7 linked regions of the Danio rerio genome follow. The protein of the gene in region 4 interacts with the protein of the main gene of each other region in a pairwise test. Links are inferred from orthologs where the notes say so. Each region holds a gene or a part of one and is shown on either strand. Other genes may lie near its edges. The genes, in order: gad2, acsf2, ndrg4, arl6ip1, snx15, tufm and sucla2.

Region 1 (3,500 bases), on a different chromosome or scaffold from region 4:
TTTCACAGGAGAGTATTCAAGTCAATTGTTTACTAGTCTTGTTTACCAAAACATGTCTCAAAATGTAATTTATTTTTGATTGCCAATGAGGTGAGAAAAATAATCTTTCTTTTCTTTCTATTTACATTTTTCTGACCCCTTTGGCACACATGTTTTTGTTTACAAAGCAAATTTAGCTAATTTAAAATGATATTTCAAGACCACTAGACTCATTATCTCAAGTCATTCTAAAGTAGATGCTTCTTGCTTTTAAAATGTCGATATGTGTACTGGAAAAACAACAAAAATATTGGGTGACGACATCATTTTTTGGAGTGCAACTTTCAGTTGTGCTTTTCCAGCAGGTAGAAACATAGCATTAAATCTACAAATGATTTTAGCAATAAAGCAACTCTCATCCCAAACGGATGACCAAGCCTTGGACACATTCAGACAACGCTAAGTTTCTTAAAACATCAAACTAAGAACATCCATTGGACAGATCATCATACATATAAGCTAAAGTGCACAAGCTCCTCTTTAGGAGAACTAGACAATACTGGCAATTAATACTAAGGCAATACAGTTACAAACACACGAAAATACAAATCGGCACAGGATGTCAAGTTAACCACTTGGGCACGAATACAACCAGCATCGGTTCAGAAATGGCTCTCCAAATGTGCTATAATAATAATCATTTCGAGTAAGTGTGTTAAAATGCACTGGATCCTCCATACACATATCTTTGCAGTTACATAAATCATCATATTCAACACGCACACACGCACGCACGCACGCACACACAAGCAGAACGCATCTACCATTTAGGATTAAATATTTCTTGAATAGAGAAAATAATGTTATTTACCACACAAATAGACTCTGCGTATATACAATACAGTGATGTATTCACATAGATATGTACTCGATCAAGAACATCTTAAAAGACTATTTACACACTATCATAGGGCATAACCCCACGTATGCTTATGCGTTCTTTTCTTTTTGGAGTTTATATATATATGACATTAAATTTAGCTCTGTTAATACCCTGAAATATTTATCATTATGTATAGGAAAGCTAAACAAGTGCATGGATGGGTTGGTAAATTAAGAAATCTAATGCTATTGTGTAATGTAGGGAAGCGAAGGTATTTATATTAAATTTGTCATTTTATTTATTTTTTTATTTTTTTAAATACTGTATATGATGTGCATATGCTATTGTTTAAAGAATTAATATTATATTTATTCTCATTTTACTTTACTTAACCACTATTGCACTTTACTCAATTGGAAATTACACATTTCAAGGCAAAAGAACATTGAATATTGTTGATGATTGCACATATTTTAAGGTGGACAGGTAATTCTTATATTGTGATCAGGATAAATATTTTGGGATGTGTTTATTAGAAGATACAAGTTAATATTTACATTTCTAAATACAGTTGAAGTCTGAATTATTAACCCCCCTTTGAATTTTTTCTTCTTTTTAAAAATATTTTCCAAATGATGTTTAACAGAGCAAGGACATTTTTACAGTATGTCTGATAATATTTTTTCTTCTGGAGAAAGTCTTATTGGTTTTATTTTGGCTAGAATAAAACCAGTTTTTAATTTTTAAAACACCATTTTAGGGACAAAATTATTAGAACCTTTAACCTATTTTTTTTCCCGATAGTCTACAGAACAAACCATCATCATACAATAACTTGCCTAATTACCCTAACCTGCCTAGTTAACCAAAATAACCCAGTGAAGCTTTTAAATGTCACTTTAAGCTGTATATAGTCTTGAAAAATATCAAGTAAAATATTATTTACTGTCATCATGGCAAAGATAAAAATAAATCAGTTATTAGAAATAAGTTATTAAAATTCTTATCTTTAGACATTTGTTGAAAACATCTCTCCGTTAAACAGAAATTAAGGAAAAAATAAACAAGCGGTCTAATAATTCAGGGGGGGGGGGGTTAATAAATCTGACTTCAACTGTATGTTTAATGTTAATTTTAATCAGCTTTTAGAAGTGTAAAACTATATAAAGCACCCAATTTTATCTCTTTTTTTGACACTTTTTCAAATAAAAATGGCTGATTTTTGAGTATTTGGTAAAATAATAGTTAAAAACTATTTTAAAAACGAATAATTGTAAATCTTGATAGAAATGATGAAGTGCTTTTGGATTAATATGTCTCTACTATCATACTATAGTCACGTATACATATCAATGTAATCTGGCACCTTGAATAACTGTTCAAATGGAAACATATGATCTGCACCGAATAGAAGCAAACAACTCTTCATATTCTCAATAAACATGTAAACAAACAAAGTCATGTCAAAGACATTAAGATAGACAGTAAAAGCAGACGGTAACACTTTTACAGGGCTCTGGACCATGAAGCCCACAACGACGCTACAATACTATACTCTAGATATTTTCATATTATCCTTTTTTTGTTTAAATGTGACTTTGGAGAAGAGGAATCAGAGATTTACCGTTACATTCACAACAAATATGCAATCCATCCAGGGACACGGGAGTAACAGGTTTTGGTGCGGTAAGTTTTAAAGATCCTGCCCCAGTCGCTCGATCTCTTCAATGAGGAAGTCAATGTCTTCAAAGGTAGCGGCTGGATTGGAGATGACCATGCGGAAGAAGTTGACCTTGTCTCCCTGTGGCTGGTAGCTCACCATGGTCGTGCCGTACTCCATCATTCTGGCTTTGATTACAGGGGCAACCTGGGAGGAAACATTTTTATTAGTTTAGGCATGAAGAAATAACTTTTTCTATTAGTCTTCATCCATCAGTTTTACGTTGTTTCAGCTAATCTCGCGTAGATAAGGTGCCATCTACTGTTGTTAAAGCATGTTGGTTTAAACTAAAAAGACAGGTTAGATTTTTTTTTTTTTAAAAACAGAATGAGAACTTGGCAATATATATATATATATATATATATATATATATATATATATATATATATATATATATATATATATATATATAATATTTCAGCATATATATACATACAGTTGAAGTCAGAATTATTAGCCCCTAGGTTTATTTTTACCCCAACTTCTGTTTAATGGAGAGAAGATTTTACAATAATTTTAATACCTCATTTCTAATAACTGAAGTGACATTTAAAAGCTTAACTAGGGTAATTAGGATAACTAGGCAGGTTAGGGTAATTATATTTAATTATAAGTTATTATATAAAGATGGTTTGTTCTGTAGGCAATTAAAAAATATATAGCTTAAAGGGGCTAATAATTTTGTCCTTAAAATGGTGATTAAAAATTAAAAACTGCTTTTATTCTAGCCAAAATAAAACAAGAAAGTCTTTCTCCAGAAAAAAAAATATTATCAGACATACTGTGAAAATGTCATTGCTCTGTTAAACATAATTTGGGAAACATTTAAAAAAGGAAAAGCAATTCAAAAGGGGCTAAAATTTCAGACATTAACTGTAAGTGTATATACTGTATGTATAAACTGTATGTATAATTATG
Region 2 (3,500 bases), on a different chromosome or scaffold from region 4:
AACCACAATCAGACCCACCTGGGCTAGCTAATCAAGCTCTTAGTAGGCTCGCTAGAAGTGTCCTGGCAGGTGTGTTGAGGCAAGTTGGAGCTAAACTCTACTGGACACTGGCCCTCCAGGACCAAGTTTGGGCAAGTATGGTTGTCTATTTATTTATTACTATCTTATTTTATACAATTTTGCTGTTTATTTCTATTATTTTCATGTGTGTCTTCACTTTTTATTATCATTACAGTCAATTTATTTGGCAATGTTTTAAGAAGTGGGTTTATTTTAAAAAACATCTATCTCTGTATAAACAATGACATCTGTTCTTAGCATAAAAATAAAGGAAAAAAGTATATTGAAGTGCTTAACTCTGAAAGTAACTTTGTTTATTTTAAAAATGGATTATTGAGTATAATGGAAGAAATGTAATTAAAGGAAATGTATTTATTTTTATATAAGAATTAGATTTCCTAAATGACTCAAGTAACATGATTTCAGATATTCTTTATATTTGTTTAATAATAATTGTTTGTGTATTTCTATGTTTAAATTACATATTAAATTTACTCCAGTGAATATTCACAATCTAATAAATTGTATATAAACATTTTAATGGTGAACAAGTGTGTACATGTGCAGGGAGACACACACAAGCTTGAGAATCCAAATTTCCTGACCTTTCCTTTGCAGTAAGCCTTAATCTCTTCTACAGTGCATTCCTGACCCTCCTTAAGTCGAATACAAGCACATACTTCCTCTCCCATCCTCTCATCCTTCACACCAACCACCTGTGTGAAAAAAACAGACATTAAAAATGCTCAAACAACCTTGCTAACTATAAAATGGTGGCTAACAGTTAATGAAAACCAGATAGCACAGTTAAAAAAGCCTGGACTAAAAGTTAAACCATGTTTACATGTTGATATCATGACATAATTCATTCAACTGTAACATAGCAGATTTTGAAATATTTCTAGAATATTTCAACACGTGTATTACATGATTTTATAGGTTGCAACCATGCAGTTAGCACTGCTAGAAAGAATTGGCATGTTGTTAGCATGATTAAACACATTTCTAACATGTTTTAACACAAGGCTAAAGTTTTAATTTGTTGACAGAATTAATTAGCATCTTACTAGCATGTCTATTTTATTTGTTTCTAACATTAGCCATTGCTTGCATGTTTCTAATCCTTGATGAAAAAACAGAATGCACTGGCAAGGTTTGTTTGGATGCTGGTTTATGGTTCTTTCTGGTTCTTTATTCATTCATTCCTGGTCATGTGCTGTAGGGAAGCAGCAGGAACCAGTATAAACCAGGATTAAAACATAACTTACCAACATACACAGGCTTTTTCAGCAATTAATAGCCATTTCTTTCACTTTTCTACCCTGTTAAACATTTGTTGATAGTATTTTTAACACATGGGCAATACGCTTGAACTGTTCAGTGAGTTAATTGCTAGCATGACATAACAAGTTGCTTCCAAACAGATAAGACTTAAATTTTTGCTAGCATGTTTTATTATCCTATATCCTGTGGCTAAAATGAATTTACTACAAGACACATTGACACCATCAATTGACATGTTGTTAGAATGGTTAGTATTTTACTAGCAGGTCGCCAGGTTGCTAACTTGAATTAGCATGCTATTTTTAACACATTTGACATGTTAATAGAATGAGTTGGCATATTGTTAGCATAGTTTACCACAAATTACATTTTGTCAGCACCGATTATTAGGCAGATTTTGCAAGTTGCTATGATGGTTCTAACACTTTAGTACCAAGTTTTAACACCATGCAAGCATTAATTATAATTACACTAGCATTATACCATATTTACACTCTTTGCTAGCATGTTTTAGTTAGTTAGTTGTTAGTCTTTGCTAGTATATCAGTAGCCTATATTGACTTTCTCCAGCTAACATTATTGAAGCTAATAATTTGTTTCTGAGAATTATGAAGTGCTAAAGGTAAATATAAACATTTTTTTATAGACGCTGCTGACCTGTGCTTCTAGAATTTTGGGATGTGTGTGCAGAAACTGCTCAATTTCAGCAGGATAGATGTTTTCTCCTCCTCGGATGATCAAATCTTTGATGCGCCCCTCTATTTTGCAGTATGCAAACTGGTCCAAACTGGCAATATCACTGTATGAACCACACAGCAGAGACACTCAGTCAAGACAGCTGGGATATAATTTATAACAATGTAATGAGGAGTATCAAGCACACTTACCCAGTTTTGTACCAGCGGTCTTTCGTGATGCACTCACGGGTCTTCTCCTCATCCTGCCAGTACTCCAGCATCACACAATACCCTCTGATCATCAGCTCCCCCTGAGCCCCCAGAGGCACGATCTCTCCTGTTGTAGGGTCCACGACTTTAGCCTAATGGAGAAACAATAATTCAGTGTGCTAGAACTGATGCCTAAAGAGCACCTTAATAAAGTGGTGTTTGAAAGTGCACCTCGGTGTGTGGGGAAATACATCCAACAGTCTCTATCTTTCTCTCTGCACTGTCCACAGGAAAGCCACAGAATGTCACAGGGCTGTTTTCAGTTGTGCCATAGCCAATCTGTTCAAAAGCACAAGGATGACACAGTGAGAGTAAAGCACATAAAAATATAATTTTTTAATAATGAACATATTCAAGTGACAATATTCAAGCAGAAATTTCAGGAAGCTGCACAGCGATTTAAAAAAAAACTAATCGAAGAGCCTTAATATAGCATAAAATTTTATTATATATAATATTAAATGATATTGTACAAACAATTACAATTGTAAACAGTATACAGTGCTCATCATAATTGAGTACACCCCATTCTGTAAATGAATATTTGTATTCATTTTTCTCAGTGAATATAGCAATGTATTTTGGTGCATTTAAACAAAACAGATTTATTAAACAGATATATCTATTAAAATAATATTTTAGTCGTCACCAAACATATTTAGAAACTGAAAGATAATACAAATAAATTCAAGCTAAAATTGCAAAAAAAAAAAAAAAAAAAAAAAAAAAATCACAACCTACACATTTTCAACTAAATCTTTACATTTTTCTCTTCTCTAGATTTTTCCTTTTTTTAATTTGTATTTAATATTTTTCTATAATATAAATTTGGGTGTACTAGTTTTTGGACCGTTATCGTAAATTATTTTGTTAGATAAGTTCCAGATTTGGCTTCAGTACTGAGTAAACTAATGTGAATGCACAAATATAATATTGCATAACTTCCTATTAAAAATATGAATTTTAAAGAGATTTGTGAGGTGTGTACTTATATATGCTGAGCACTGTATGTATGTATATTATGCAGTATATAATATCATTATTAATAATAAATAATGATTAACAATAACAATGATTTCAAAATTTCAGATTTTTCTTGAATTAAAAAAATTAGAAAATATTATTATAAAACATTACATTACTATATAATGTGTATGTAATAAAATGTTAAAGTTTAGAAAAGCTATTAAATTAATAAAAGAAAATTAT
Region 3 (4,115 bases), on a different chromosome or scaffold from region 4:
TTCTGTGAGTTTGTGAGCTGACTTTATGGTCCATGGAATCAGTTCTGCTGTGTGAGTCTTATCAATGGAGACCTAGAGCAGGTGTGTGTGTGCAGTGCATGACTGGGTCTTGTAGTCCATATAATGGCGGATTTAGATTTCTAAGTGGTCTGCATGGGCTAGATCGCTGGTGCTTGTAACAGTAAGTCATTAATATAATTCATTTTTAAAAATTTAAGCCAGCCATGTAATTATTTACAGTTTGGTACTGAATAAAACATTACTTAGGCAAAATTCAAGTTAACGTTAGTTAATGAAAATACAGTTGTTCATTGTGAATTCATGTTAACTCACGGTGCATTAACTAATGTTAACAAGCACGAGTTTGGATGTTAATAATGCATTAGTAAATGTTCAATTATGATTAATAAATGCTGTACAAGTGTTGTTCATGATTAGTTCATGTTATTAAATGCATTAACTAATGAACCTTATTGTAAAGTGTTACCTTATTCAGAAACAATACCAAACCCAAAAAAGTGATAATGAGCTCTAAATAAAAACCTGTTCATGTGCATACTATGTAACAAGTATGGCGCGTTCTATTTTGACAACAACAGTGCAAAAGCATTTACACCTGTGCATGACACTTGCAATAGAGAAGGGAAGAGTTTGTGCGTTTAAGTGAGACTGCAAAAGCAAAGTCAGGCACACGAGGATTAATCTTTCACATCCACAAAGAAAAGCCAGCACATCCAGTTGTAATAGACAAAACTGTGCGGATTTCAAATTCAGAGGCTGTATAATATAGAATATAGCTCATGTAAACACATCCATGCCTCAAAAGTGGGCCACGAGCCTCGAGTGCTTTATCACGTGCTCCTGTGGAAGCGCACACACACAAACACTGTCACAAAGCAAGCCACATTGACAGTAATGCTTAAGGCTTTTTATGAAATCGGAGTTCTTGTCTAGTTTGGTGTGTGTATTGTGTCTTTTTTTATTTAAATGATGAATTACTATATAGAAAAGCATATCATTTTGGAATATAGCGCTCTATTGATGTATTAAATTGCATCAAGAAGTCATATTAAAGGCTGTTTTGTGCATGTGGAGGATGAAAATAGCAAATATGGGGCAAATCCAGATGAAAAACAACAGAGTTAGATTGACACCAAGCTGAGCCACTCACATGCTGGCATTTTGTGCAGTCATCCAATCAGAATGCATGGGGTGGGATGTGAAATGTGTCGGGGGAGGGGACAAGTAGTGCTGCAAAACTGCCCTGACAGGACGAGGAGAGACAAAGAGACGCCGTAGCAACCGCAGCATCTCTTTGCTTTCCTGCATCCGATTGCAATTGTCCAGAGAGGACCTTGTCGTCTCCTTTTCTTCCCTACACTTCTTTAAGCAAGCGTACACAATCTCTAAGCTACCATGCCGGAGTGCTGGGATGGGGTGAGTGGGATATCTATGATTTTAGGATGTAAACACAGGATTCTATTTATTTATTTATTTGTTAATACTAATACATGTGCTATCATGTCATTCTTTATTGTTTAGCCAAATGAATGTATATTTAATTGATTAGCCTTATGCATGCTTGAAATAATTAGCTTGACCTACTGAACTGGTATTGTGCACCAGTTCCATCATTACAGATCTATGCATGTTTATACTTGCCTGATGGCTACTTATTATCATTTATTTCAATTTATCAATCCTAATGGTTATTTAGTAATTATATTGAAATAAAAATAATCATTTAAAATAAAATCTTATTTATTTATTATTTAATAAAAAGCTAAATGTGTACATTTGTATCATAAATGTATAATATAAAACATATATATATATATATATATATATATATATATATATATATATATATATATATATATATATATATATATAATTTTTTATATTTAATATAATATAATATAATATGATATAAGATAATATAATAGATATATTCATAAAATAAAATATCAAATAAAAAGCTCCATCTGGTGAAAGCGTGATGCTGATATTGTGTGTTGTGCAGAAATGTCCAGTCATGTATGAGGTGGCCATTTGCACTAACACACTAACACACTGCCACGTGTGGGACGTGCGCACTGATGTACCTCTGCAGTGACCTGGAGTGTGTGTGTTTAGAAATGTGTGTTTGTGCATTGTGAAACTGACACCAAATCTGCGATCTAATCATAAAAATCCTCATCCAAGGACGATTGTGTGACCTTGAGCTTAAAGAAAACGAGCAGCTAAAAAAGAGCAGTACTTCAACTCACGACGCACTGCTTTACTATTGTTTTGTGCATAATATTGTCATATCTAGGTCAGATTTTGTGTTTATCTCGTCAGTGTTTGTTCCATATTGTCTGTCTAGAAAACATGCTTGACATTTTGCAAAACACAGTGACAGCTGCTATGAGATTTAATTTTGACCCGAACACAGAGTTACACAAACAGCTGTCCTTAACTCGCACAAATACACTTGCATCCGGTCTGAGCTTCCACTATTTTTTTATTTTTTATTTTCCACTAACATCAAAACCACACACTGACAGGGGCTTAAAGCCCACAGGAGATTTATTTCCCTGTCTCTCTGTGGATCTGCATTAAGCTCGGGGCTGCCTGCGAGGTGTCTGCGTGGATTTGTGCATAACATTGGAAAGCTAGAGATTCTGAAATAATCCTTATAGGACAAGAAAAAAACACACATCCATCGCTTCTCCACTTGGAGTAAAGTCTGACGGTGAATGTGGGTCAGTTCAGATTAAAATGCCTTTGGAAATGGCAATTAAAAGTGTGTTAAATGACTATGAACAGGAATCGGAGACGCTTAATAAGATATTAATTAGTTGTGTTTTTTTTTTACTCTCGATTAAATACATTTTTTATTGCCCATTAAAAATTTGGCAGCCCTTTTAGTAACTACAATATAAATCAATGTTTTAGTTTGTGTCAAAACATACAGGCTGAAATGAGAATTTCTGGCAGACTGCCTCCTTTTATTTAGTTTGTGTTAAGATACAACTGTTAAGCTGAATTTGTTGCATCTAAACAAGCTAAAACTTGATTTTTAAGTTAGCCCAATATACAATATTTTACTGAGTATAGATTGCCTTTTGAAATTAGAACATGATTGGAACAAATTTTGATTTTATAGTTTGTGTTTGGATACAAAAAATAAAGCATGACTTATTAGATTTCACCACATTTTAGCCTGTATGAAGTGGTAAATTGGGTCAGTCTTCTCACAATGTCAATACGTAGCTAAATATGCCAGATTTTGCCACAATATGGACCACTTGATGACACTGGGATGATATTGGTCCAGTTCACAAGTTTTAGCTACAGAATTTTCAACAACAACAACAACAACAAAAAACCTTTTAAACCCATTTTCAGTCAGTAATTTGCATCTAAATTAGGGTCATATTTAAGCTAAAACTGGAAAATTGGGTCAATCTCGTTTCAATGTCAATATGTACCTCAATATACTAGATTTTGCCAAATATTAGCCACTGGGATGAGATTGGTCCAGTTTAAGTTTTACCTACAAAATTTTCACCAAAAAAAATATTTTAAATTCATTTCAAGTCAGTATGTTGCATCTAAATTACTGTTGTATTTAAGTTACAACTGGAAAATTGGGTCAGTTTCGTCCCAATGTCAAAAAATTAGCTCAATATGCCAGATTCTTCCACAATATTGGCCACTTGATGACACTGGGATGAGATTGGTCTAGTTAATAAGTTTTACCTACAAAATTCCAACTAAAAAAAACATTTTAAACCTATTTTTAACCAAGTATGTTGTATCTAAATTAGGGTATTTAAGCTACAACTTAGATTTGTGTTAGGACAATATGAAATAATTGTGTGGAGCCCTGCAAACAAGCAAGCCAGCCCAGATGAAAAAAAGTAATGGGAAAGTAACTTAATGCATTACTTTCCTCAAAAAGTACCTAAGTACTGAATTTAGTTACTTGAAAAAAATGTAATCCAATGTTACTTTTAAAAGTAACTTCCCACAACATTTTAGATCCATCCTGACAGTTTCTCAGGCTCTTTGCTGAAATTGTTGTTTTTGTGTGTTCAGGAACATGACATTGAAACCCCTTATGGGAT
Region 4 (4,132 bases):
ATCTAATATGACGTAATTGAGATTGATCCTTATGGTTAGTCAAATCATTTGGATTGTGATTTCTAGATCTGTAGTGATATTAAATAGTTTATTTCTTTATCATTTCTCAAAATGAACGATATTCAAGAATGTTGTGGGCTGCGAGTAATGTTATTGGTGTAAAGCATAACAAATCAGATGTGGCTTCCTTTGGCAGAGCAAAAATAGATTGTATAAGAATGGACATCAGTTCTGTAAACATGGATTTAATACAAATGATACTAACATCTCTTAAATCTAACAGTGAAAATGAGCTTACAGATCAAAGATGTTTGCATAGAACTCTTTATTTAAACTAATTTTGTTAGAATATTATGGTGGGTTCATTAATGGTTTTAGAGAATCCACAACCAGATCTTAAAATTTAAAGAAAAAAATAAACCCTGCCCAGCCCTAACAATGCAACATGAAATATTACTCCATGAACTAACTACACGTGATGCTGCGAGAAGTTAGAAAAACGTACCTTTCCTTTGTTAATTATTTATTTTTTCGTCCTACTTATCCACGACTGCAACACACATAGTTTCTAACTCAGAAATAATTTTTATTTCTGCAATATAGCAGCTAGAACAATAGCTCAAACTACTACTGACAATGCCCAGCACAGGTGCTGATTGTACAGTTTATTCTGTGGTAAATGTTAACAATGCAAGTTTGAATATCTCTTTTTGCAATATTTATTGCCATGATGAAACCTTCAGCAGATAGTTTACCTCAGATCTAGCCTACAATTTAAACACAAACATTATAACTGTGACTCCAGCTGCGCTCACACGGCACTTATTGCCCCATATAGTTCAATTCTTACGCATGGGAATGAGTCAGACAGGAAACGCAAGCTTGTGCGACAAGTTTCGCCTGATGTTGGATAGCAAAGTTTAAGCTTGGTGAACTCTGACCTGCAAAATCGTATCATGTGAAAGCATAAGACCAACTGAAGATCAAAACGTGACCTCACTGTACAGAAATGTAAAACATGGAGCAATCGCTCACTTTTTAATTTCTAATTATCTTGTTTAATCACAACCCTTTCCAAAGCACCATAAGACAAAATTTTGCAAGCTCAAACTAGTGTGATCACACCTTCAGTCACGTATTCAAGCATGCATCTCAATTAATGAGGTTTAGTATTTAAAAATTTTAATATTCAATTCCATTGGGAGTTCAGTGCACTGTTCTGTGCTACTGAATAACTGTGGTATTAAGATGTTGAATTATGTCTTGTGCAGACAGCAAAATTGCTTGTTGCTGGAAGCTTATGATGAATAGAGTAACTCTAACTGCAAACAGTTGTTCAATTACACCAAAACTGACATTTAAAAAATAAATAGCTATTAAATAGTGTAATGAAAGCACCAATTACACTGGTAATTATGATGTCATTCTGAAAACAAGAAAGACTGCACTATATACCACGGGAGAAATAAGAAGTTCATTTAAAATGCATTAAGGCACAAGCAAACAAGCAATAACGGTAAAAAACATTAAACACTTTCAAGGCTTTTAGCATGTGACCTCATCTGATTAACTGAAGTCAAAGATTAGGCCTCCAGTCAAGAAGTGGCACTAATGTACACTATGAACAGCAGACTCACGTGAAGAGGATTGTAGTAACGCTCACTAATGCACCAGGGAACCATGGCTTCTCCCAGCGCAGGATCTGATCTCCAGCCAGGATGACCTCTCCCCATCCCTGCAGTTGCTCTTCCAACTGACTCGTCTCTTGAGCCTAGAGAAATGCTCTGGGTCAGTATCAGTGTCAATACAATCGGCTCTCTCAAGTCAGATGACATGGCATTATCAGGGATTGTGGTAAAATGGGGAGTGCCATTAACTGTTGGGATGGGCATATCCTGCTGGCATGACAGGAATTTTAAAAGACACCAGGACAAAATAGTAACTAATAAGAAATGCATAGGAAAGTAAATGTGATGTATTAAAGCTAAAAGAGGAGAGCATGTGGCAACTGCGGAATCTTTTGTTCAAACTAACAGGCCACATTTAGGTTCAGCCCATTTACTTCCTCCAACTTTGCGCTGTATATCACCTATAAAGGAGGTTAAACCTTTATCTTTATCGAGATAAACCATACTCCTCAAGACAACTATACATCTTTCTTTACTATTAAACTTAATCTAACGTGATAGATTATCGAATGTCTCTAACAAAACTCATATCATCTTAAAATAACGCTACAGCCTACTGATATTTGTTTTAAAAAGGTACAACAATGTATCAACTATGACAACTAACCAAAAATGTGTGTGGGAAAGCCATTTACGTTAGCGAGATGCTTCATAGTAATCCGTGTTGTTAGCAGCGCGTTAACGTTAGCTTGCTAACATCTTACCACGCAGTTCATATCTGTGGCGTTTCTACTTTCTATTCTCTAAATTCACACGTATAAGTAACATTTTCAAATGGGAAAGATTGATATTTATGATACATAACGTATTCTTTTTAATGACTTTAAAATTAGGTTAAGATAGCAACAGCTGAAGCTCGTGTACTTAGCATTGCTAAAGACGTCGGTACAAGATGAAATACGTCGACAGCAAGTGAAATGCTTATAGGTAGAAACATTAACTTAACACTTACCAACAGATTTGCACTTTTATTGTCGCCCTCAGCCATGGTTTATTAGATGTTACTTGAGAGTTTAGGTTCCTCGGAGCACGATTATATGAACGCGTCTCCCCCCTCCACTGCGGCAGTCTGTCAAGCGACCGTTATTTTCAGGATGTTTTTATCTGAAACTCGGAATACAAGGACTCATGGGAAATGTAGTTCACGTTCAAAAATAGATGAGATGGATCAGAGGGAAGGCCAAGCCAGCCTTTCTTCGATCCCAGGGGCTCTGCAATGGTTGTGGACATTCCAAATTGAACCAAAACAAACGATTGGCTTAAGACTGGCTATGAAAATTCGGGAAAAGTGGTTCAACCAGCTGAGCCTCGGAATTTATACAAGTATCGAATTCTTCACAAACGGTGTTCAAAGAAAGACCTGAAATGTGTAACAATTGACAGTGAAAATCATCAGTTTAAGCAATTTCTGTCTAATTTTAATACAATCCATTAAAGGATTGAAAATATAACATAAAATAAAGCAGCTTGAAGCTAGTTTATGTTAAGACATTACATTTCGTACAAATTAGGCAAAACTGTCTTATTTCTTACTGTAGGGTGATATGATTGAAAAGGCACAAATTCAGACTTCATGTGACATTGTCTGAAAGTAAAAACATAAGGCAACAGGGATGTCCTCGAAACGAAGCTAAATAACGTTATTAGTTTTGGTAAACGAGTAAATGCAATTTTTAGTACTGATCATCAATTATCATATAATACAGTAGGTCTGTGCGACTAATTGGAATCAAATCGCAATTTGAACCATTGCGATGAGCTCACATAAAATATATTTGTATTATTTTATTTTTCCTGCCCAGAGCAAATGTGTGACTGCCGTATGTGTGTGATAGTCTAACCAGGCACTTGAATGAGCACAATTGAGTGATGAGTGTCTTGTTAAAGTCAACTGAAGGTATTGCCAGTAACACTTGATCTAGAAGCAAGCAACATCAAAGTATAATTTCAGAGTTGTTTCAGCCATGTTAGTTTGCTGAGTGTTCTGTATTTTTAGATTTATTTTTAATTTTAGATTTTATAGTAAGCTACACTATCTCCTTAATATGACTTCTTGTTTACAGAAACGTAAGGTCATTTTGTTTACTGTTAACTGTAGAGAAAAATGTGTTTCATTTCTGAATATTTAAAAATCAAATTGAATAAATGTTTAAGCTAATCTCTCTTTTCTTTTAAAATGAATTTATTAATTTTTTTTTTTTTTTTGTGGTTTTCACCTTAAATGGATAGGACAGTAGGGAGTACTGACAGGAAAGCGAGGGGAGCAGAGAGAGGGTAAGGATCGGCACAGGACTTGAGGCAGGAAACAAACTCTCACTGAGCGCACTGGAGTGCGTGTCGACACTCTATCCACTACACCAGGGGTGCTCAATCCTGTTCCTGGAGATCTACCTTCCTGCAGATTTCAGTTGCTACCCATATCAAACACACCTGCCTGTAATTAT
Region 5 (3,500 bases), on a different chromosome or scaffold from region 4:
TTTAAAAAGCACATAAATTGTTTTGCAATTTGTGATTTGTTTTAAGTTGAATAAAAGAAAAACATTTTCCATTCATATATTTTATTGAGGATTCCAAAAAAGTATTAAAAATCTTGTGAACCCTATCTCATGTCTAGTCTCATCTCGTGGAATAAGCATCTTGTCACACCCCTTTTACTAACCATTAATAAAGAGCCAATTAGACGTTTATTTGGAGGCAAAAGTCATAGTTAATAGTTAATATTGTGAATTGGTCTCCAAACTAAATCTTATTTTATCTAATTTAATATTTGATTAAAATTTAATAAGTTATTACCTTTAATGATGATTGTTAAAAATAAAAATTGCCATTAAAAATAAAAGTTTTAAACAATGGTTTACTGCTCCATTGCAGATGCTTCGCCTGAAATGCCAGGCTCTCCAATCGACCAGTTGGAAGAGTTTGATGCACTGTTTGACTCAGGATTGGAGGACTATTCCTTCAAAGCTCCGCCTCTGCTTTCAGACACAGACCTCGCTATTTTTGACCCTTGTGTCAAAGAAGGTGGGAGAATCTATTCAGTTTGACTTACCATGTCTACATGCAATTGTTTTTTAAAGCAAAGTCTCACTCTCATAGCTTGATTCAATCTCTCAGATCAACCGTACGGATCACCCAGCCATGCTGAACTCCTGTCTGCTCCTCTGTGTGGTTCAAATGGGACGGATTCTGCTGTAGATGTTAGTTATGTGTACCAGGCCAATGAAGAGCTGAATGCTGCCCAGGAACAAGAGAGAGAAGGCAACTATAGCACAGCCGTACAGCGATACAGGGCGGCTGTTGATATATTTATGAAAGGAGTGCAAGGTAAGACATGGAGGCTGTTTGCATGCACATTGCAACACTAATTGATATTTTGCAGTATGTAATACAGTTGAAGTCAGAATTATTTGCCCCCCTGTTTATTTCTTTTAATTTTTTGTTTTATTGTTACAATTTTTGTTTAAAGGAGAGATTTATTTAACGCATTTTAAACATAATAGTTTTAGTAACTAATTTCTAATAACTGATTTATTTTATCGTTGCCATGATGACAGTAAATAATATTTGACTAGATATTTTTCAAGACACTTCTATACAGCTTAAAGTGACATTTAAAGGCTTAACTAGGTTTATTAGGTTAACTACGCAGGTTAGGGCAATTAGGCAAATAATTATATAATGATGGTTTGTTCTGTAGACTATCAGAAAAAGATAGCTTAAAGGGGCTGATCATTTTGACCTTAAAATGGTTCATAAAAAATTTAGAACTGCTTTTATTCTAACTGAAATAAAACAAATAAAACTTTCTCTACAGTAAAAAATATTATCAGACACACCGTGTAAGTTTCTTTGCTCTGTTAAGCATCATTTGGGAAATATTTAAAAAAGAAAAAAAATCAAAAAGAGGCTAATAATTCTGACTTCAACTGTATATAATTGGTGCAAATTTTCTTTATGAAAAATGTCTGGATACTAAACACAACATTGGTTACATATCATATATTTAACAAAAACACACAATTGGGAAAATAGCATCCCACAATGCACTGTGCTTGACCAGACGTTCTATTTCTTGTGTGACTAATTAACTGAAAGGTTATGAATTAATTTTGAAATACAATTTAGAGACGCTGCTGTTCCAGAGTTTGTGGTAGACATAAATTTTTTTTAATGTTTCTTGTATTTTACAAGACTGCATTTATTGAATCAAAAATGTAGTTTAATCAACAATTTTATGAAATATAGGGTCACACTTTACAATAATGTTCCATTCGTTATGTTAGTTGTTTGTATTTATTAACATGAACTTAAATTGAACAGTACATGTACAGCGTTTATTTATCATATTTTAATTTGTACTAGTGCATTATTAAAATGTAAAATTGTGCTTGTTAACGTTAGTAAATGCACAGTTAACAAGAATTTACTATGAACATCTTTATTTCATTAGCCAACGTTACTAAAGATGGTTAAGTATTGTAATAAATGTATTGTTTATTGTTCATTTGTGATTGTCAATACATTAACTAACATTTATGGAACCTCATTGTTAGGTGTTATTGATATAGTTTATCATGTTTTTCATGTTAACTTATTTCAGTTTTAATATATTTTTTCAAATTTGTTCCTGTGAATCATTACTTTAGTTTTTAGTGTCACATGATCTTTTAGAGAGCATTTTAATATGTAGACATGGGGCCCGATAATGATTTCTTATTTATGTTATCAATGTTGAGTAAAATAAATATTCTTATTTTTCTTAGAAAACATATACAATAACCATATACAATCCAATCTAGCCCCAACAAAGCAATCCCCAAATAAAATAATACAAATCTGAAAAATAAAATAATAATAATAATGAAATAAATACAAATACAGAAAAAACTAATTATAAAAAACCGTATATATATATATATATATATATATATATATATATATATATATATATATATATATATATATATATATATACTTACACAATCCACATTTAAGGTTTTTAAATCATTAAAAAATGCAAAAAATTGTTGGCAGTTTTCCGACAACTGTTCTCCTCTACCTCTGATATTGCATTTAACATATTTCTAAAGGTGCTGGTTGACTTGACATTGTCACCAGGTGTCAGTAACAACCAAAGTAATTCATACATATAAAGCAAACAAAACTAATTAGTTTAGAAATTAACTTTTGTGTGTTCAAATAAATGAAATGACAAAGGGGAACAGTATTGAACACATGAAAAAACTGGGGTATTAGAGGTCATGGAAATCCTAGACAGCAGACAGCATGAATATAAGCTGCTTTATTCCAAACATCTACACAACCAGATGATGAAGATGAAAAAGGGTTGATATTAAAGCAAGACAATGATCCCAAACACAGGCAAGGAAAATCTCAATGGGTCTCAGAAAAAAGAAAATAAATCTGCTAGAATGGCCCAGGCAATCACCTGACCTGAATCCAATAGTAAAAATGAATTAAAGTGGATAGACAAAACCCACAGAACCGTCAAGACTTTTAGACTCTGTTGATGTTTGGGGGAAAAAATTACACCTAAGCAATGTATGCAACTCCATTCTTCATACTACAAGCTGTCATTAGCATAAGTACATTTCAGTAGTTCAGTACCTTTTTCTTGTGTCGTTCCATTGTTATTATGCATAACAAATTTTTCTGAATTGGATGTTCGGATTGTTTGATACAGAGTTTGAGTTGTTTGGGTTTTTACCAAAATATGCATCAAATTCATGTCAACAGCTCCTTTAGAAATAAATGGCATTTTCAATTTTAAATGTTTATCTTAACCACTATTATTATTATTATTATTTTTATTATTATTATTATTATTATTATTAATAATATTATTATTGCCGGCAGCTAGCTCTCTGCAACTTTCAAATGGTCCACCACTGGAGCTAAGCAGAGCTGCTCCTAGTCACTACCTGGATGGGAGACCACATGGGAAAGCTAGGTTGCT
Region 6 (3,984 bases), about 18 Mb from region 4:
TCATGGTCAGAAACAGCTTTACAGACAATAATAGATAAAACCGATAAAAAATAAAAATAAAAAAAAGCGGTGGGAAAAATGACTAACAAAGCCATTTAGAAACATCACAAATGAGGGGAAAGTAATTCAACATGTCTCAATGAAGAAAAAATTTGGCGCGCATATTTGATGCATAAGATGTTAAAATGCACACCTATAAATACATATTTGTTTATTGCAATTAGTACAATACAAAAAGGTATATTATTAAATACTCAAGTAAAAAAAATGTGTATATTTATTATATGTATTTTTTTCAATCAGGTTTTAGTGAACTTGCAATAATGTTAAAAACACACAGAGCCTCTTGTGATCTGTTCTCTTGCTAATACACACTCGTCTCCATGGTTTTCGGGGTAGTTTATACAATGCATGGGTGTCACTTCCTCTACGTGTAAACCCGTAAACAACAACTGTGATCGATTCATGAGATCGGAGAGTACCGATCGAGTCATAAAATGTAATTATCGGCCGATACCAATCTCTGAACAATCAATTGGAGCATCCCTTATATGAAATAAAGCTGAAAGTGTACCTTTGGTGATGGCGGCGGTCAGTGTGGTTTTGCCGTGGTCAACATGTCCAATAGTGCCGATGTTCAAATGGGGTTTATCACGAGCAAAAACCTTCTTCGCTTCTGCAGCGAAATTCCTTCGACTTAGAGGAACTGCACACTAGGGTCAAAAAAATTAAATAAATAAATAAACATGAGGCTATTTTTTCAAATATCTCCAGTGGAAATGTCACAGGGTGCCTACAGAGTTTAACAAGTTAAATTGAAAACATTTTTAAAGGCCTTTCTAAGACTGACTTATAAGACATTTAAGATCATCAGATTTGCAATGAAAATACTCATGCATATCAGGGCTAAACGCTAAGGATTTAAAAAAATAAATACTGACCAGGGACTAAACTTTGGATTGAAACCTTCCTGAGTATGAAATATGAATGTATGCAAGAATAAATTTGTATTTATTTATTTATTAATGATCATGCTCATATGAGGATTTAAAATAGGTCCACGGATTCATAAATGATAAAAAAAAAAAACACTTTGCATTGTTTTGCTTCTGTTAGTTGTGTTATTGATTTTTGTAGGAACATGATGTTTATGTCAGACACACATTTTAATTTTTACTTGCAATTTGACTAGATGGCTTAACTAAAAAAATGTTGTTCTGTCTAATAATAATAATAATAATAATAATAATAATAATAATAATAGTAATTGTAAATAGTTTTTGGGTCTGTCAGGCTGAAGAAATAGTTTTAGCCAAAATATTTTTTAAATATCTTCTCAAATCTAAATTCAAGGCTTTTAAAGACTTTTTTTTATCCTTTCTATAAAGAAAACTTTTTATTTTGTTTTTACATTTAGATTTTTAAAAAATTCAGATATGAGTGAAACAATTTCCAATTTCCATTCAGTATTCTATAAATATTCACACAAAATACTAACCATATATAAAAGAGTAAGTAATCAAAACATTATATTATATAGTATATTTTAATATTAGATGATTAAAACACTTGTTGCTAACAAATAGGTTAAAATCAAGTGCTTGGAAAAATAGTAGCAAAATATAAATAGATTTAAAATGACAATTAATGAGTATTTTAAGGCTGCATTGTGATAAACAGTCTTTAAATGTGTTATCAAATGATTCTTGTTGCATAATTTGCCTGACAAGATTCCTTTGACCCACTTTAACCCAACCGATAAAGATTGAATTTGGACAAACGTCAAGTTTAAGTATATAAAGCATTTAAGTTGAATTTTATTTGACAGATTTTAAACAAAAGAAAAAGAATCCCATACATTTTGAAATAAAACCATGGAGGATAAAAAGGTATAAAGCCCTGGACTTCCATTGTGGACTTGGCTGTTAAAAAACAAAAACAAAGTATGGCTAATTTGTCACAAATATTTTGCACAATTATTTCGGAGTTTACAATATCTAACTTATCTTCTTTTCCTTCGATATTAACAAATAATAATTGCTAATCCATGACAGATAATAATGCATTTAATAACATACTAATAAAAACAAAAAAAAAAAACTTAAAAAACTGAAACTCATACCAGCTTAAACGAGCTGTGAAGTAAACTTGGAGAGGTCAACTGAAGAGCTGGAAAACAAACAAAAAAAGCTTAAATGTAATACAGAAATCATCATTCATTCATTCATTCATAAACACGAGTCAGGAAATATACTGTATAATATATAAATATACTGTGCTAATGCAAACAATGGAATACATAGACTATTAAATCTGCTTAAAAATATGTTATCATCACATTAATAAACAGAGGACAACTTAAAATATTACAAGCGTCAAAGTCGCTATATTATGAACAACTGTCAAAAACATCACGAGACCGAATCACTCCTCATCTGTTTCCCGTAAGTATGATCTTCACACAATACAAATATTTAACTATCATATAAATATTGTGATAGATCTTACGCTTTAATGTCAATAATGCCACTCAATCTGTACGATATATATAAGTCACAGCCTGAGGAACGTGACCTTGCTTGGGGAAACACACGAGCATCCTTCATGTTTTCACAGTAACTGCCATTTCCACACTCTCATCGGCATTTGCACAAATATTACACATATTTCGCAGATTATTCGCTGCATGAACATAGTGTCAGTGGCACGAGAAAGGTAAAATAAGCGAATTTTATAACTTACCGGAGAGGCACGCGCGGACGCTAACGAGCGCAGCCATTTTGCGGACTGTGACAAGTGCGCATGCGCGGAGAAATACACATACGCCATCAACACTGGACGCACTGGACACGTTTTTTAATCTTACAGTAAATCATCTAAATTGTACGTTACTACTCCAAATGTAATTATTTGTTATATACATTTTTTTATGTATGCTTTATAAGAAGCCTTGTCATTTTTATACAGATTTTAAATTCATAAATGTAAATCACAAGCCAACATTTGTACAAGAGATGAGTGTACTAGGTACACCTAATAAGAAAGCACTCAAAACATATACAGGTACTATTTTCATGACCTTTAATATGTATACTCTATTAAATCTCTAAATTTCTGAAAATATAACATTATCTTCTTATTTTGCTCAATTTCTTTATGTATTAAATAACTATCCTCAGATTAAATAGCCTATTAAATTTTTTGTGTTCTGTTTTATTTCTGTTGTGTTTTTTCCTCATATTTTTTCTTCTTTTTCATTCTTTATTGGCACCATTATAAATAATCTAGTAATTCATTCATTCATTTATTTTCAACCGATTTTCCGGGGCCAGATCGCAGGAACAGTCTCAGGAGAGAACCCCAGACTTTCCTCTCCCCAGACACTTCCTCCTGCTCCTCCAGGGGGATCCCGAGGCGTTCCCAGGCCAGCCATATAGTCCTTCCAGTGTGTCCTGGGTCTTCCCTGAGGCCTCCTCCTGGTGGGACATGCCTGGAACGCCTCCAGGAAGGCTTCAAGGAGGCATCCTAAACAGATGCACAAGCCACCTCAGCTGACTTCTCTCGATGTGGAGGAGCAGCGGCTCTCAGGTAACAGAGCTAATGATCTAATTATTAAAGTATTGTAAATGATATGTACCAAATGTAACTTTGTGTTATACAATAAATGTTCAAAAAAACTGTAAATTACTTTTAAATATGGGTTCTGTGTATATTAAATCCTTATAAAATGTTTATTTTATACACTATAAACCTTAATAAGAGGTTGTGAAAGAACTATGCAAGGAGGGCATTTATTAATGTTTTCATTGTGCATTGGTAAATTACAATTACATGAAAAACAGGCATCAAAAACAAAAGTTCCAAAGCAATGGCGAAATGGGTAGCATGATCGCCTTACAGCAAGAAGGTCGGTGGTTCAAGCCTCGGCTTGGCATTTCTGTGTCGAGTTTGCATGTTCTCTCGATGTTCGTGTGGGTTTCCTCC
Region 7 (4,166 bases), on a different chromosome or scaffold from region 4:
TAATAATTAACCAATTCATTGGATAAAAGCAGTTTGTTCTGTGGCTGGCCATTTTTATTTAAATATAAGAAATATGAATTTTTTTAAAATGCAGGAAATAATATAATATAATAATATAATTTAATTTAATATAACAATATAATTTCACAGTATTTATACAATAAATACTGTGAAAAATGTCTTTGTTCATTTAAAATCACTTTGAAAAAAAACTGTATTGCACATCAAATACAGTAATGCAGTCCTATCAAAAATACACGGCTTTACTCAGACAATGTCCAGCATATTTTCATGTTTTCTCACCGATTTGCTTGGCAGCAGTATAAGCCTCATCAGGTGTGCTGGCGACCATCCCCGCGGGCACAGAGATGCCCGCCTCCTTTAGCAGGCCGATGCTCATGTACTCATGCAGGGAGAGCTTTCTCTGCTGCTGCAGCGACAGCATTGGAGATGGCTGGTTCCCATGGTGCCCAAACAGACCTGATGTCCCACCAAGCACCTGGTAATTGAAAGCAAATATTGATAGTACAAATTAAATCCAACACTGCAAACAAGAGATTGAACAAGGGATAATGTTGCCACAAAGCCATAGTCGTTTTTACAATTCAAACACAACTTCTGTGATTGCTTGATGGAATCATCAAAGCGAAATAAATGCAAGAAAAGTCTAAAATTTGTTTTATTTTTAAGATATTAATCATTTTAGATGTTAAGTTTATCTCCTTTGACAATAAATAATGCAAAGGTAATGGTGGGTGATCTGAAGATATTATGATTTAACCCTAAATGTAATCCTTTATAGAGATGTATTGCAACTGGAAGAGCATTCGCTGAATAAAAAACGTGCTGGATAAGTTAGCGGTTCATGCCTCTGTGGCGACACCGGATTAAAAAACAGTTCATTTAACAGTTCATTCCGCTGTGGTGACCCCAGATTAATAAAGGGACTACGCCGAAAAGAATGAGTAAAACAGAATGTGCACTAGGGTTGCACAATATGTAATTTCAGCATTGATATCGCAATGTGTGCATCCGCAATAGTCACATCGCAATGATATGCAATGTTGAGTTGACTTTACAGTGTCATTTTTACAGTTACATATGAGCAATCCCATGCAAATGCCAACCTTGCCATAAAAGAAAAATTTAGGTTTTCACCAAAATAGAGAAACCGTTTCTACTTTTCTTTGTGTAAGAAAGTATTTACAGTACTTTAAAATTGCTCAAAAATGTCTCTGTTAATGTTTTCAAACTATTGTATTTGATTTCCCTCATAAATACAAAAATGTCAAATAAAATGAAACCACTCACTTTTGTTCTATAGTGAGCCGACTCTTATTCTTTTGATTAGCATTTTTTCTTTTGGGTTGTGCAGTTTAATTCACAGACTATCTACAACGTATGTTGTATACTGTAAACTCGCAAACTTTTTTGTCACATCCATAACACATGTTTATTTTCCTCATTTAAAATATAAAAAATGTTTACAGATGGATATTTTTCTGATCCTATAAATCTGTGGTTGGTTGTTTTGAAAAATATAAACAAATGCTTCAAAATTATGTTAACATTTGCTTTCTATGTGAATTTATCCTTTGAGTTTTTACTGCAAATGTCACGTCCATGACGCTGAAATTGCTCATACACAAAACCACAATGCATGCATGGTTTATTTCACTTTTATTTTTGCCTTGTTGCATTTATCTATGCTTGTAGTTTCTTTATTACAAGTTACGATGATTCACTTCCCTACAGAATCATCCCAGTCAATCAAAATACACTCAGTAACACTTTAGCGTCCAATTCTCATTAGTTGCTTATTAGTATGTATATTATTGAGATATTGGCTGCTTATTAGTACTTATAAAGCACATGTTCTGTATGATCTTTTTCTACCCAACACTTAAACTAACCTAATAACTATTAATAAATAGAAAATTAGGAGTTTATTGAAACAAAAGTCAAAATGGTTTGCTAAGAACGAGAACTTAAATGTGACTAAAATTATTTTCAAGTATAATGAAGATATATAAATCACAGAAAAACTAAATATCACAATGTCAGATTTCTCCAATATCGTGCAGCTCTAATGTACACAATAGCAACAAATTACCATCCAAGTAATCAACAATACAGTGCTGCATATAAATAAGTTAGATACATTATGAAGTAAGCTACCTAGGTGTCTCACTCAAGGGTACAACCTTTCACTGACCAAACAATTATTTCAACAAATGTATGATTCAGAAATATTAACACTTATAGTTCATTATAACAAGTACATTTGCAAATCTGAGTGGTTTAAGGATTACTTTACCAACCAGCTGTTACTACAGGTGAATGGACTACATAGAGTAAAACATAACAGAGTGTCCCTCCGTAAGTTACATGTAGGTCAAAGTTAACTCGTAAACCCAGCTGACATGTAATTGGTATGCATGATAAGAATACAAACAAACATAATACTCTAACAATCCCAGAAAACATCTCGGATTAGACAGTAATACAGCACCCGCTCAGAACATAATGAACAGGTTTGCTAACCTAAGCATTACTGATTATTATTAATGACAGGCTGTTAGCCAATGTGCTAATGTCAAAGGAGAACTACCCATTTGGTGCCATTGTAAGTGACCAAAACAGAAAGCTACTTCATTAATGGAAGTCGGTTATTAAAATCTGACGCGTATACACAAAACTGACCTTAGCTGCCGAGCTTACAGTCGTCCTGGAGCTGGAATTCCTCAGTCCAGCGGACAACCGGCCACAGATCAGGGACGTCGCCATGTTGCTCTGTGCTGAAGCAGCGCTGCAGAAAAACAAATGATTGGACGTGACTGCGTCTCTACGTAACGTTACGTCAGTTGCGCAGCTGTGCTTTGAGAATAGTCTATCACGGTTGGTTATTTCCTTCTTCATGATTCAAAAAGCTTTATTTTTTAAATCAATTCGTGTGTTAATGACAAATATCCGCTTTTAATTTAAGATTTGAAATGGTTTGCTACCAATCGTGTATGCCAAAGTGAACAAGCTTCGATTTAATCGTGAAAGATATGCTTGCTGCAAGGAGATTCATCTACCAAGTAAGATATAGGTAAGTTTAGACTATGGTGTGGTTTCCATTAATGGTCAGTGTCACCACTACCTGTAAAGGGGGTTTGAATCATTTCAGTGATTCTTCGAGTCTTTTTAATCGGCTCTTCTTGTAGTATATCTTTCAGCCAGTAGATGGCAGCAAGTGATTGTCTTTTTCTGTGTTTTGTGTTATTGAATCATCACACTAACGAATCTATTCAAAATCATTCAAAAGGTTCTTACATAGAAACCAATTTAAGGTATTTGGAACACCACAAAGAGAGTGAGTCCACACACAATAGTGAGTCTTTTTAATCAGCCCTTCTTTTAGTATATCTTTCAACCAGTAGATGACAGCAAGTGAGTGTCTTTTTGCGTGTTGTTATAAGTTATTGAATCATCACACTTATCTACTGGAAATCATAAAGTGCTTAAATAGAAACTAATTTAGGTTATTTGGAACACCAAACAGAGAGCAACATGAGGGGCAGCCCGGGGAGATTGTATTGTCCCACTCTGGAAAAGTGCCTTTGGTCAGGGTGCCTTTTTAGTTACAGCTGCACAGGAGTGGAACTTTGTCCCTGGGAACATCAGAGAAATAACCAAATACAACAGGTTAAAAAAAAAAAAAACATTTTAAAAATCTGGTTCATAAAACATCACACATGTCATCATTAGTATTAGAAGTACAAAAACAAAAAGCATTTATTTTTTAAATGAAGAGTTTGGAACCATATTTGCATACAGCTAAATAATTTACATCGTTCTCATCTCGCATTAGACCAGGGGTGCTCAACCCTGTTCCTGAATATAGAAGCTGCACCCCAAATGGCACACTATACACTATGCACTATGTACTTTTTCAATTACTCACTCAACAGGATAGTATATGTATGTAGTGTCGTTCCAAACAGAACACTAATGTTTTTTTACTAAGCAGAAATTCAAACCATTTTCCTGATGATGTTTGCTGGTTGCCAAATTAGTGAAATTAATGACCAAACTAATCAGTTTTCTATAGTTGGGTGGAAAACGATATTTTATTAGTCTCACAGTTATTAAACGATGAAGGATATACACTCACTTTTAAG

What was found.
Region 1: the proteins of arl6ip1 (region 4) and gad2 interact in binary tests that used the Homo sapiens proteins (3 or more experiments, as listed by UniProt). The two-hybrid records come from large-scale screens. The link is inferred for Danio rerio from reciprocal best matches to the Homo sapiens genes ARL6IP1 and GAD2.
Region 2: the proteins of arl6ip1 (region 4) and acsf2 interact in binary tests that used the Homo sapiens proteins (3 or more experiments, as listed by UniProt). The two-hybrid records come from large-scale screens. The link is inferred for Danio rerio from reciprocal best matches to the Homo sapiens genes ARL6IP1 and ACSF2.
Region 3: the proteins of arl6ip1 (region 4) and ndrg4 interact in binary tests that used the Homo sapiens proteins (3 or more experiments, as listed by UniProt). The two-hybrid records come from large-scale screens. The link is inferred for Danio rerio from reciprocal best matches to the Homo sapiens genes ARL6IP1 and NDRG4.
Region 5: the proteins of arl6ip1 (region 4) and snx15 interact in binary tests that used the Homo sapiens proteins (3 or more experiments, as listed by UniProt). The two-hybrid records come from large-scale screens. The link is inferred for Danio rerio from reciprocal best matches to the Homo sapiens genes ARL6IP1 and SNX15.
Region 6: the proteins of arl6ip1 (region 4) and tufm interact in binary tests that used the Homo sapiens proteins (3 or more experiments, as listed by UniProt). The two-hybrid records come from large-scale screens. The link is inferred for Danio rerio from reciprocal best matches to the Homo sapiens genes ARL6IP1 and TUFM.
Region 7: the proteins of arl6ip1 (region 4) and sucla2 interact in binary tests that used the Homo sapiens proteins (3 or more experiments, as listed by UniProt). The two-hybrid records come from large-scale screens. The link is inferred for Danio rerio from reciprocal best matches to the Homo sapiens genes ARL6IP1 and SUCLA2.

What each region holds. Positions count from the first base shown.
Region 1 is NC_133199.1:6,326,889-6,330,388, forward strand, and holds part of gad2 (glutamate decarboxylase 2), read right to left. Parts: intron 2,730-3,500; coding exon 2,556-2,729; 3' UTR 1-2,555. UniProt on the Homo sapiens protein: Catalyzes the production of GABA.
Region 2 is NC_133187.1:28,300,066-28,303,565, forward strand, and holds part of acsf2 (medium-chain acyl-CoA ligase ACSF2, mitochondrial precursor), read right to left. Parts: intron 2,571-3,500; coding exon 2,463-2,570; intron 2,384-2,462; coding exon 2,232-2,383; intron 2,144-2,231; coding exon 2,002-2,143; exon of another isoform or gene 816-2,001; intron 777-815; coding exon 666-776; exon of another isoform or gene 184-665; intron 1-183. UniProt on the Homo sapiens protein: Acyl-CoA synthases catalyze the initial reaction in fatty acid metabolism, by forming a thioester with CoA. Has some preference toward medium-chain substrates. Plays a role in adipocyte differentiation.
Region 3 is NC_133200.1:14,289,094-14,293,208, reverse strand, and holds the start of ndrg4 (protein NDRG4), read left to right. Parts: upstream 1-1,315; 5' UTR 1,316-1,416; coding exon 1,417-1,437; intron 1,438-4,086; coding exon 4,087-4,115. UniProt on the Homo sapiens protein: Contributes to the maintenance of intracerebral BDNF levels within the normal range, which is necessary for the preservation of spatial learning and the resistance to neuronal cell death caused by ischemic stress.
Region 4 is NC_133178.1:29,901,632-29,905,763, forward strand, and holds the start of arl6ip1 (ADP-ribosylation factor-like protein 6-interacting protein 1), read right to left. Parts: upstream 2,801-4,132; 5' UTR 2,677-2,800; coding exon 2,641-2,676; intron 1,772-2,640; coding exon 1,638-1,771; intron 1-1,637. UniProt on the Homo sapiens protein: Positively regulates SLC1A1/EAAC1-mediated glutamate transport by increasing its affinity for glutamate in a PKC activity-dependent manner.
Region 5 is NC_133182.1:19,941,065-19,944,564, reverse strand, and holds part of snx15 (sorting nexin-15), read left to right. Parts: intron 1-394; coding exon 395-544; intron 545-637; coding exon 638-847; intron 848-3,500. UniProt on the Homo sapiens protein: May be involved in several stages of intracellular trafficking. Overexpression of SNX15 disrupts the normal trafficking of proteins from the plasma membrane to recycling endosomes or the TGN.
Region 6 is NC_133178.1:12,129,051-12,133,034, forward strand, and holds the start of tufm (elongation factor Tu, mitochondrial), read right to left. Parts: upstream 2,801-3,984; 5' UTR 2,780-2,800; coding exon 2,743-2,779; intron 2,170-2,742; coding exon 2,123-2,169; intron 714-2,122; coding exon 575-713; intron 1-574. UniProt on the Homo sapiens protein: GTP hydrolase that promotes the GTP-dependent binding of aminoacyl-tRNA to the A-site of ribosomes during protein biosynthesis. Also plays a role in the regulation of autophagy and innate immunity.
Region 7 is NC_133181.1:10,995,481-10,999,646, reverse strand, and holds the start of sucla2 (succinate--CoA ligase [ADP-forming] subunit beta, mitochondrial), read right to left. Parts: upstream 2,801-4,166; 5' UTR 2,788-2,800; coding exon 2,704-2,787; intron 500-2,703; coding exon 304-499; intron 1-303. Other genes in the region: nucleotide triphosphate diphosphatase NUDT15, read left to right, coding at 3,054-3,094. UniProt on the Homo sapiens protein: ATP-specific succinyl-CoA synthetase functions in the citric acid cycle (TCA), coupling the hydrolysis of succinyl-CoA to the synthesis of ATP and thus represents the only step of substrate-level phosphorylation in the TCA.